Macaca fascicularis: one gene and its partner. The protein of the gene in region 1 interacts with the protein of each later gene in a pairwise test. Links are inferred from orthologs where the notes say so. Each region holds a gene or a part of one and is shown on either strand. Other genes may lie near its edges.

Region 1 (5,914 bases):
GCCAGGATGGTCTCGATCTCCTGACCTTGTGATCCACCCGTCTCGGCCTCCCAAAGTGCTGGGATTACAGGCTTGAGCCACCGCGCCCGGCCCCAAGTGATTCTTTTGCCTCAGCCTCCCGAGTAGCTGGTATTACAGGCGCCCGCCACCATGCCTGCCTAATTTTTTGTATTTTTAGTAGAGACAGGGTTTCACCATGTTGGCTAGGCTGGTTTCGAACTCCTCGCCTCAGGTGATACACCTACCTTGGCCTCCCAAAGTGTTGGGATTACAGGCGTGAGCCACTGCGCCTGGCCTAAAATAACTTTTTAAACTTATGGAAATACATGTTCATGTGTAAAAAGAAAACTTGGGAAATACAAAAACAAAATACAAAACAAAAGTATGAACAACAGGAAAACATTACTCATAATCTTCAGAGTTACTTTTGGGGGGCAGTGGTATAATTGGAATCATTCTTATAATGTAGACCTTGCTATTTTAAAACCATAGTGTATTTTCCAGTGTCATTACAAATACTTCATAAACACAATTTTTTTAGTGGATTTAAAATACTGTTATATACTATGTCAAAACTTGATTGACCTTTCACTCCTTGAATGTTGGGCATTTGGGTTTCCATATTTTCACTATTTATAATGCTGCACTAAATATCCCTTTAGATACAAATTTTTATCTGCATTTTAGATTATTTCTTTAGGATAGATTCCTAGAAGGAGAATAATTGGGTCAAAGGGTAAGCATGATTTTAAGACATTTTGATTCCTTTTGTCAAATGCTTTCTGGATACATTTGACCTGTTTGCCGTGCTGGGCAGTCCTTTCATGCACTGGAATAGCCCTTCTAAATTCTCCTATCTTAGCTCGATGGAACTAAGTACAGGATCCTTCTGGGGTCTGACCTTGGGGCAGTGGCTCAGGGCCTTCTGAGTGCAGACCACTACGCTCAGCCTGTGGATGGGGATTGTTAGAACTCCTCCTGACTAGAGGGACAGTCATGGTGGAATACAGCTGACATTCACCATTGTGTCATCCTAGAGTCACAGTTGAGGATGGATGGACCTTCCTTAAGCTGGAAATGACCCTGAGGCAGGAGCTGCTTTAAGACCAAGTGAGCTCCTTGAGAGAGCTGGGTCTGTTTGAGCCCACCCAGAGATGATAGAAAAAAAAAAAAAAAAGAGCTGGGTCGAAGTTGTATTTATATACACTGTAAACATCCACAGGAGTAGGGCCTCAGTGAAAATCTGATGGGAGAACGAATGGGGAACCTTCATGTGGACTCAGTGGGAGTATTATGTGTCAAGTTCAGAGAAGACACAGCTGAAATGGAGACAGAGATTCAGGATCTGTCAAATCCAGAGGACACAGCTGGGGTAGGAGGTTTCTGCTGAACTAGAAACAGCTGCTGCTCCTGAAGAGCTCATCATCCCCTAGAAATGACAGGCATAGGAAGCAGACCTCTGAGAATGCTATGTAATTCCCTGTATGCCAGATCCTGGAAGCACTGACACTAGGCAGGCTTAAAAGAGATGTGATCTCACAGCAGGCAGCTCTAGGATGAGTTAGTAGATTGGTACTTGGGATTAGGGCATTTTCTGTTGAAGGGATACCACTTGCCTGTGGGCACCTCAAGGATAGGTACCTGGTCAAGTTGTTCTGTGTCCCCAGAGTCTAGCACAGTCCTCAGTGCCGAGCAAGCACCTGCAGAAAGAGTTGGCAGGAAGGGATGTGTGGATGAGTTCAGAGCAGAGTGTGTGGATGGGTGCTTGATTTCTATCTCCATCTCTCCAGCTGGAAGATTTGGAAGTTACTGTAGCTGATCACATTCAAAAGGTCATGAAACTGAACTTCGAAGCAGCCTGGGATGAGGTAGGGGATGAATTTGAGAAGGAGGAAACATTCACCTTGTCTACCATCAAGACACTTGAAGGTAAAATCCTGGGAATGCCACCTCTGGCCTACTTGCCGTTCAAGATCTTTGGGTACTGTTGAAGTGCTTATACCTTTTCTCTCCAAGGATCCAGGGCCATGTCTGGGGCACATATGTCAAATGCCATTTCATTAAAAGCCCTTCAGAACATGGGGGAGTGGTGGTGGCACAAAGGGCAGACAAGATGGCTTAACAATATTGGGATTTCTCACTATAGAGGCTGTGGGTAATATTGTGAAGTTCTTGGGAATGCACCCTTGTGAGAGGTCAGACAAAGTGCCGGATAACAAGAATACCCACACGTTGCTTCTGGCTGGTAAGTGGCATTTCCAGGTGGGGAGGGCCTGGATAGCTTACAGCCTGGATGTCCACTGGATCCTGGGCTAAGGACTTAACTGTAAATACGGGGAGTCAAAATTCACAGCATTTAAAATTCGCAAACTATAAAATAATCTGCAGCGAAATGTTTCCACCTTACCTTGGCTGCCAGCCATTGAGATTCCCTTCCAAGAAACGACCAGTGTTACTATTACAAACAATGCCTGTATAACCTTGCAGTTATTTTATTGCTATAAAGGAACACATTTCCTTTTTTTAACTCAAATGTTTATGTACAAATGGTATATTGTCCTGCAATTTGCTTTTCACTTTACGATGCATCTTAAGAGATCTTTCCTGCCAATATGTAGAGCTTCCTCATTCTTTTTCTTTTAATTGTGGTAAAATATACATAAAATTCACCATTTCAGCCATTTTCAAGTGTGTGGTTCAGCGGCATTAAGTACATTCACACTATTGTAAAACTATGACCACTATCCATCTCCAGAACTTTTTTCATCCCAAACTGAATCCTTTTTTTTTTTTTTTTTTTTTTTTTTATAGCTGCTTAGTATTCCATTGTGTGGATGCACCACATATTCTGTGGAACAGCCGCTACTGATGAACATTTAGTTTGATTTCAATCTGTTGCTATTACAGATGTTACAGTAAATAATCGTGTACACACACACACAATTTACTTTGCATGTGTACACTGAGAATATCTGTAGGATAAATTTTCCAAGGCATCACCAGGTCAAAGTGATTTGTGTTTCTCATCTTGATAAATAACTCCAAGTTGCCTTTCATAGAATTGTATACCTTTTTTCCTACACTGTGGACAACACAATATGTTACCACACTTTATGATCTTTGCCAGTCTGTGTGGACAATGATATCTTAGTGTAGTTTTTGTATTTTCATTGAAGTTAAGTATCTTCTCAAATGTTGAGGCATTTGTATTTCCTTTTCTGATCACTGTCTTCATATCCTTTGTCTTATTTTCTACAGGGTTGGCTGAGTGTACCTGCACTCATTCTCCTTCCCAGATTACTTACTAGCAAACTCCAGAAATAGCATTTTATATGTAAATTCTTCTGTATCTTTATGTTTCTCTAAGAGATAATGACCCCTGCCCTTTTTTAAAGGACAATACAATTATCATACCTAAAACAGTTAACAAAAGGAAATGGGATGATTTTTTTTTGGCTAAGTGTTTATAAACAGGGTTGAAAGGAGGCTCTGCTTCAGTACCCTGTCTACAGCTGACAGTTTGTAGCCACATTGAAACAACCCAGTCCCCTGGGTCTTGCAGACACCTGCCCTGTGGTTTTCTCGTGGTGGGGCTGTCCCCTTCATTTGTGCTGTCAGATTCAGCCAACATGCAAGAGCCTATGTGACGTCAGATACGAGCCTTTTATGTCCATCAATTCATTTGAACTTAGCAGAAGCCTGAATATGGTATTATCATCCCCGCCATTTTGTAGTTGAGGATACTGAAGCCCAGAGAGACAGTGACTTTTTTTTTTTTTTTTGAGACGGAGTCTAGCTGTGTCACCCAGGTTGGAGTGCAGTGGCACAATCTCTGCTCACTGCAACCTCCGCCTCCCGGGTTCAAGTGATTCTCCTGCCTCAGCCTCCCGAGTAGCTGGGATTTCAGGCGCCCACCACCATGCCCAGCTAATTTTTGTATTTTTAGTAGAGATGGGGTTTCACTGTGTTGGCCAGGCTGGTCTCAAACTCCTGACCTCATGATCCACCCACCTCGGCCCCCCAAAGTGCTGGAATTACAAGTGTGAGCCACCGTGCCCAGCCGAGAGTCAGTGACTTTCACAGTGAAATCCCTCACTCAGGGATTTCAGCCCAGCTCTCCTGCCCATTTCACTATACCACAGCTGTCTTGATGGGCTGCTGCAAATGCCATCCTTAGCCTGCCCTGTACAATCCCTTCTGCTGTATATACCTGTACTTCTGTCTTCCCTTCTAGGTGTGTTCCGGGGTGGTCATGACATCCTGGTGCGTTCCCGGCTGCTGCTTTTGGACACAGTGACAATGCAGGTGACAGCCAGAAGTTTGGAGGAGCTGCCAGTAGACATCATCTTGGCATCTGTGGGATAAGCAGCCAGCCTGCATAGGACCTTATGCCCTTCCCCCCCAACACTACCTGGAAGTTGTGCCTTCCTCATGAAACTGGCGGAAACCCCTTCCCAAGCTTCTGTATTCAAAAACAATTAGGAATCATTGCAGATTTTTTTTTTTATTCTGCCCTTACCCCCCACCCGGGACTACTTGGGGGTGCCTTTTTTTTTTTTTTTTTTTTTTAATAGGGAATGATTTTAGCTTGTCCTAAATCTTGCTATCCTTCCTTCCAGGAAAGGGACATTGTAAATGAATAAAACATTCTCGACTCCTCTTGAATTTATCCCCCAAGAAACCATCTTATCCCTCTAATAAATCAGCATGTATTTATTGAATGATTGCTACACCTTCCCCTTCAAGGCCTCCCCCAAGAGGCAGAACACGTGCCCTGTCCCCCTTGTACCCACAGCCCTTTGGCTGTTTTAATCCTGTGAGGCAGGACCCTCTCCCCGTCATCGCTGTCCCAGCACCAAGCCCAGGGGTGGGAGCGGTACAGGTTAGTTGAGTGAATCAGCTAACAGGCACTGAGTTCCCACTCCCTCCCACTCGTGCTTCTTCGCAACGCATCCTCCTCTGGTAGTCGATAAACGGAGGCTCCAAAGGGCTTGGGTCCTGTGGCCGTTCCAGCATCAGGTCCTATGTGGAGTGTGCCCTGGGGTTTCTGCTACCTGTTCAGCGAATCAGCATAGGCGAAGAACAGCCCTCTAGAGTATTCTCTGTTGGTTGCAGATAAAGAAATCTCCGGTTTAGGTCCCAAGGGGAGCAGGCTTTTAAACTCAAGCCAGGTTATTTTACCAACTTTGAGAACAAAGTACACCCGTAAGGACTGTTTTAAAAATTTGGGCCTCACCCTTAGAGATTCAGCTGGCGGGCTGGGGTGCGGGGACAGAAAAGGCTCATTCTAGTGTACACCATCGTTTGAGGGCTAAGTGCGCGATTCCTGAAAGTTCTCCAGACTTCCATTTATTCAGTGTTCCTCCATTTTTGCCTCGCACTGTGAGGCGGCTGGCACGACTGTGAAGTAAGGAGTGGAGTTTCCTGGTTTCCCGCCTTCGATGACCCTGTGCCCTAGACTCAGGGCGGCGGGAACCTTCCCCGCCGGCGGCCCTGAGGCGCGCTGGGGGCGGGGAGGAAGGTTAACCCCGCCAGGGAACGGCCAATATGGAAGAAAGTGGAGTCCCGAGAAGCTTGGGATGGATGCATTCCCCAAGGCAGTCACTGTCTCCTGGGGAAACGAGAAAAGATTCATCCCAAACCGGAAGGGAGAAGACGCCGCCTCCGGTGCCCGAGGGCGCAGAGAGAACCAAGGGCCCCCTCCCCCAGGGGGCGGGGCCTAGCGCCGGGAGCGCGGGCTGAGGCGGGGCTGACGTGCGGGGCGGTGAGGCGAGCGGCCAGAAGGGAGCTGAGAAGCGGTGAGGAGAGCCAAAGGAGGTGACGCGAGCTGAGGGAGGTGAAGCGTGCTGCCGGGGCGAGGTGAGGGGAGGGAAGGCGACGCGGGCGGCCGGGGTGTGGGGAGGGGAGAGGAGGG
Region 2 (5,907 bases), on another chromosome or scaffold:
TTCCTTTATTCATTTACTTCACAAATGCTTATTAAATATCTGTCATCCGCCAGGTGCAGTGGCTCATGCCTATAATCCCAGCACTTTGGGAGGCCGAGGCAAGCAGATCACAAAGTTTCTTACAGGGCTTGGTGATGACAGATTTTTTTCTGTTTTTTGTTTGTTTGTTTGTTTGAGACGGAGTCTGGCTTCGTCACCAGGCTGGAGTGCGGTGGCGAGATCTCGGCTCACTGCAACCTCCACCTCCCAGGTTCAAATGATTCTCCTGCCTCAGCCTCCCGAGTAGCTGGGATTACAGGCACCTGCCATCACCCCCAGCTAATTTTTTGTATTTTTAGTAGAGATGGGGTTTCACCGTGTTGGCCAGGCTGGTCTCAAACTCCTGACCTTGTGATCTGCCTGTCTCGGCCTCCCAAAGTGCTGGGATTATAGGCGTGAGCCACTGTGCCCGGCTGAGCCTGGGAGTTTGAGGCTGCAGTGAACTATGATCACACCACTATACTCCAGCCTGCCTGGGTGACAGAGCAAGACCCTGTCTCAAAAAAAAAAAAAAAGAAAAGTCACATTCATTCGTTCTCACAGGGCTCAAAGTCTGGGCGGGGAGAAGGAACACTTGTAAACAAACTAGTAAAGGCTGGGAATGGTTCACGCCTGTATCCCAACACTCTGGGAAGCTGAGGTGGGAGGATCACTTGAGCCTAGGAGTTCAAGACCACCATGGGCAACATAGTGAGACCTTGATCACCCTCTGCCTCCCCCTCCCCCTCCCCTTCTGCCTCCTCCTCCTTCTCTTCCATTCTTTTTCTTCTTCTTCTTTTTTTTTTTTTTTTCTTTTTTGAAACAGGTTCTCACTCCCATTGCCCAGGCTGGAGCACGGTGGCATGATCATGGCTCTGCAGCCTTGAACCCCCAGGCTCAGGTGATTCTCCCACCTCAGGCTTCTGAGTAGCTAGGACTACAGGTGCACACCACCCTACCTGGCTAATTTCTTTGTAGTTTTAGTAGAGACCAGGTCTTACCATGTTGCCCAGGCTGGTCTTGAACTCCTGGGCTCAAGCCATCTGCCCACCTCAGCCTCCCAAAGTGCTGAGTTTACAGGTGTGAGCCACTGAGCCCAGCCTTGAGACCTTGTTTCTACAAAAATAAAAATAAAAACAAAATGATCTGGGAGTGGCTGCATGCACCAGTGGTCCCAGCTACTCGGGAGACTGAGATGGGAGGATTGCCTGAGCCCAGAAGGTTGAGGCTGACATGAGCCGAGATCGAGCCACTGCACTCCAGCCTGGGCAACAGAGTGAGACCATGTCTCAAACAAGCAAAATTAGTAAAAATAATGTTTAGAGATTGAGAAAAGTGCAATGAAAGGAAGAAATAGGAACTGAGATAGAGAATGTGACAGGAGAGACCGATCAAGTCAGATATGGTGGCTGTCAGGAGGACCTTTTGGTAATGATATTTCAGCAGAGGCTTGAAGATAAGAAGGCTTGATGCATTCAGTGAGGAAAACCCCATTCTGTAACCATCTAGGGTAAGTGACTGTGGTCCACAACATAAGAGGGCTTGAAGAGAAGAATAGGGAAGAAATTTTGAGTCAAAAATCTGGGTTCTATTCCCAGTCAACTAGCTGTATGGTCTTGAAAAGGTGACACAACCTCTGAGTCTCTCTTTCCTTAAAATGAGGGTCCATTATGCCTACCTCACAGGTGTGGGCTATATTAGATAACGTATGTGAAGGTGTCAAATGTAAAATACATGCACAGTGTTTTTACCAGTAAATGCATACGTACCACTAACATACATATCACTGGGGTGTGAATTTTCCACTTGCCAGCATATCCTGAAATGAGAGCTTGTCTTTGGTACACTTAGACAAAACCAAAACATGCTGCAAAGCCCAATGTCATTGGTGGAGCATTTGTGCTGCTGGGCGTCTGTCTTGCTTTTGATGGTGCCATATCTGTGTCTTAGGAGAGCCTGGGGAGGTGTCTCCGCGGCCATGGTTCCCTTCTGCAGGTAGTGAGAGAGGAATGGGAAAGCCTCTTCACAGAGGAGTGTCCCCAGAACTGTCCTCATGTGCTCTTGCTTATAGACCCTGTCCCGGAGATCTAAAGGGTGATCTGACATATTTGTCCCCATGGTACCTACCAGAGGTCAACAGACAAAAGTGGGCTTTGCTTGTGTTTGCTGCTGGCCCCAGGACAGCCTACAGACACCGGTGCACACCAAAGCCACAGGCCGGAGAGCAGGCAGAAAGCAGGACGAGGACTGGTCTTGGGGCACCCTGAAGATGCAGAGTTCGGGGCTGTAAGGGACTCGGGAAGGAGCCAAGGAGAGAGGGAAAGGAGAGGTGGGGGAAGAAGAGCTGGGGTGAGGGCGGGAGGGGAGAGCGGGGAGAACTAGCAAGAGAACGGGGCCCCGAGGAAAGGAAGGCCACGCGCGAGAGGGGGCCACGGGGCGGGCGCGGAGGCGGGGCGGCGGCGGCGGGCAGGAGGCGGGCGGCGCTGTCAGTGCGAGGCGGCGAGCGGAATGCAGCGGCCCGAGGCCTGGCCACGTCCACACCCGGGGGAGGGGGCCGCGGCGGCCCAGGCCGGGGGCCCGGCGCCGCCTGCTCGAGCCAGGGAGCCCTCGGGGCTGCGGGTACGGAGCGGGCGGGAGCGGGGGTCCCGGGCGGCGGGAGCTGGGCCGGGACGGTGCAGGATTGAGGGGAGCAGCCAACTCAGAACTCGCGCGCCCAGCGGCTGGGAACTTTGTGTCACCCCTGACCGGCCCCAGGACCCGGGAGGAAAAGTTCGTCCCGGCGCCAACCGGCGAGGAGGCCTGTCCTGAGTCCGTCGGCGCGGGGCTGAAGTTCTGGGTCCGTTTGGAGCGGGGGGTGGCGGGTGAGTTGCGATTCCGCGGGGAGGGTAAGGAGTGGCCTGTCCGTCCCAGACTCGCCTCCCATCACCGGTGGGTGATGGGCATGCTGCTGAAGTCCACCCGGGCCAGGGCCAGGGCCTGGGGGCGGGCTGAGAGCGCAGGTCCAGCCCGGCCAGGGATCAGCTGGAAGGAGGAGGCTCGGCCCGCTGTCCCCCCCGGCCCAGGTTCTGTGATACACTCCGACTCGGGCTCTGGAGCAGTCAGTGCATGACAGAACTTGGGCCCGGAAGGACCTTCTGCACCCAACGGGCACAGCGCCCACTCGGGGCCTGCAGTGGAACATCTGCCTGGGAGTGGAGTGGGCACCTGGGTTGGCCCATGTGGCACAGGGTTGGGCAGAACCAGCTGTGGACCTTGAGGGCTGGGGTTGCTGAAGCCTGAGGGTGTATCCTAGGGCCAGCAGATCCCATAGAGACAGGGTGTCCACCTTGAGCCAGGGGCCAAACAGAACTCTCCTCCCCGGTGTCAGTTGCAGGAACCTTCCCTCTACACCATCAAGGCTGTTTTCATCCTAGATAATGACGGGCGCCGGCTGCTGGCCAAGGTAACCTCTGACCCCACCTGTGAGGGACACAGTTCCCATCCAGCTGACACTCCTGTCTCAGGAGAAACTCCACTGTGGTCTCTGTGACTCAGGGCAGCTCAGCTTAGACCCCTCCAGAAGTCCTTCTCATCCTCCTGCCTTGTCAAGGTGCTGCTCCCTGAAGTGAGGGGTCTCCCCTGTTTCTACTCATGTTCCCTGAAGTGTTTCCTCGTCATCGGTACTGGCCAGCTGGACCTGGGCATGGGAAGTTTCTGCCTAATGGATCAGTGGAGTGTTGAGCCTGGGACCCAGGAGTCTTAGTCCCCAAACCCCTACACAAGCTCTTTTGTTCTTTGGGGTTTGTCTCTAAACCTCCTCAAAACCTCCACTTTTGTTCTACAGCTTGGTAAACACTAAGGATTTAGCCTAAGGAGTCTAAGGATTTAGAACCAGATGGGATTTTAGAGACTGTGTAATACAACTCTTTAATTTCATAGATGAAGAAAATGAGGTGTAGAGAAGCTAAGTGAATTGCCTGAGGTCACAAGTATTAATATCCTAACAGATCCAAACTCATATTTTATTTATTTACTTATTTAATTTTTTCACTTCTCCCATTTCACAGGTTTCACAGGCAAACTCAGGTTTTTTTACATTAAGCTCAAGGTGGTTTTCACTGTACCCCCATTCAATTATCTGTTATCTATCCTAGCAAACACGGCCTAAAATAATCCAAAAATAAATTTCTGCTGTCAACACAATTAATTGTAGTGGAACTACAGCATCTGCATTAGCTATGAAATGCATTATAAGGCCGGGCGCAATGGCTCACACCTGTAATCCCAACACTTTGGGAGGCCGAGGTGGGCAGATCACTCGAGGTCAGGAGTTCAAAACCAGCCTGGCCAACATGGTGAAACCCTGTCTCTACTAAATATACAAAAAATTAGCTGGGCATGGTGGTGGGCGCCTGTAGTTACAGCTACTCAAGAGGCTGAGGCAGGAGAATTGCTTGAACCTGGGAGGCGAAGGTTGCAGTGAGCCAAGATCACGCCATTGCACTCCAGCCTGGGCAACAAGAGAGAAACTCTGTCTCAAAAAGAAAAAGAAAAGAAATGCATTATAAGGCCAGGCGCAGTGGCTGATGCCTGTAATCCCAGCACTTTGGGAGGCTGAGACGGGTGGACTGCTTGAGCCCAGGAGTGCCAGACCAGCCTGGGCAACATGGCAAACCCCATCTCTACAAAAAAAAGTATGAAAATTAGCTGGGCGTGGTGGTGTGCGCCTGTAGTCCCAGCGCTCGGGGGGGCTAAAGTGGGAAGATCGCCTGAGCCTGGGAGGTTGAGGCTGCAGTGAGCCATGATCGAGCTACTGCCCTCCAATCTGGGTTATAGAGTGAGACCCCATCTCAAAAAATAGATTTCCTGTTTGTTTGTTTGTTTGTTTGGAGCTGAAACTTTTCTGTTTTTATGACATTCAGATAAGCAGCGGCCAGTAGGGAGCTGGCTAATCTGCCTGCAGATTGAGTACTAAGTGGCAAAATCCACATCCAGAAAATTGAAAACTGAGCTGACCACACCTTGCCCCAGCAGATGGTCAGAGGTGGATCAGCAAGGCCAAAGGCTCTTGCTCCCTACAGATTAAGAAACTAAGAGAAAGAGGCTCACCATTCCCAAACAAAAAAACATTAATTTAGTTATGGGATATGTGCGAGGGATTGTTTCTTAGATATTTAATCTTCACTATAACCCTGTCTGCAGTCAGACCGTCCTTACTGCTCAAACCCAGCTTTGGCCTCACAACTGTGAGATGTTGGGGAAGTTACCTGACTTCTTTTTTTGTTTTGTTTGTTTGTTTGTTTGTTTTGTTTTCTTGAGACAGAGTCTCACTCTGCTGCCCAGACTGGAGTTCAGTGACGCGATCTCGACTCACTGCAACCTCTGCCTCCCGGGTTCAAGTGATTCTCCTGCCTCAGCCTCCCAAGTAGCAGGGATTACAGGCGCCCACCACCATACCCGGCTAATTTTTTTTTTTTTTTTTTTGAGACAGAGTCTTGCTCTGTCACCCAGGCTGGAGTGCAGTGGCGTGATCTCGGCTCACTGCAAGCTCCGCCTCCCGGATTCACGCCATTCTCCTGCCTCAGCCTCCCTCGTAGCTGGGACTACAGGCGCCTGCCAGCACGCCCAGCTAATTTTTTTGTATTTTTAGTAGAGACAGGGTTTCACCGTGTTAGCCAGGATGGTCTCGATCTTCTAACCTCGTGATCCGCCCGCCTCGGCCTCCCAAAGTGCTGGGATTACAGGCGTGAGCCACCGCGCCCTGCCATTTTTTTTTTTTTTGTATATTTAGTGGAGACGGGTTTTCACCATGTTAGCAAAGCTGGTCTTGAACGCCTGACCTCAGGTGATCCATCTGCCTTGGCCTCCCAAAGTGCTGGGATTACAGGCATGAGCCACCATGCCCGGCCG

Evidence for each region. The genes of interacting proteins can lie anywhere in the genome.
Region 2: the proteins of COPG1 (region 1) and COPZ2 interact in a two-hybrid assay, tested with the Homo sapiens proteins (2 studies listed by BioGRID). The link is inferred for Macaca fascicularis from reciprocal best matches to the Homo sapiens genes COPG1 and COPZ2.

What each region holds. Positions count from the first base shown.
Region 1 is NC_088376.1:154,146,630-154,152,543, reverse strand, and holds the end of COPG1 (coatomer subunit gamma-1), read left to right. Parts: intron 1-1,790; coding exon 1,791-1,929; intron 1,930-2,146; coding exon 2,147-2,245; intron 2,246-4,234; coding exon 4,235-4,365; 3' UTR 4,366-4,721; downstream 4,722-5,914. UniProt on the Homo sapiens protein: The coatomer is a cytosolic protein complex that binds to dilysine motifs and reversibly associates with Golgi non-clathrin-coated vesicles, which further mediate biosynthetic protein transport from the ER, via the Golgi up to the trans Golgi network.
Region 2 is NC_088390.1:58,692,105-58,698,011, forward strand, and holds the start of COPZ2 (coatomer subunit zeta-2), read left to right. Parts: upstream 1-2,506; 5' UTR 2,507-2,526; coding exon 2,527-2,637; intron 2,638-2,781; exon of another isoform or gene 2,782-2,879; intron 2,880-3,385; coding exon 3,386-3,460; intron 3,461-5,907. UniProt on the Homo sapiens protein: The coatomer is a cytosolic protein complex that binds to dilysine motifs and reversibly associates with Golgi non-clathrin-coated vesicles, which further mediate biosynthetic protein transport from the ER, via the Golgi up to the trans Golgi network.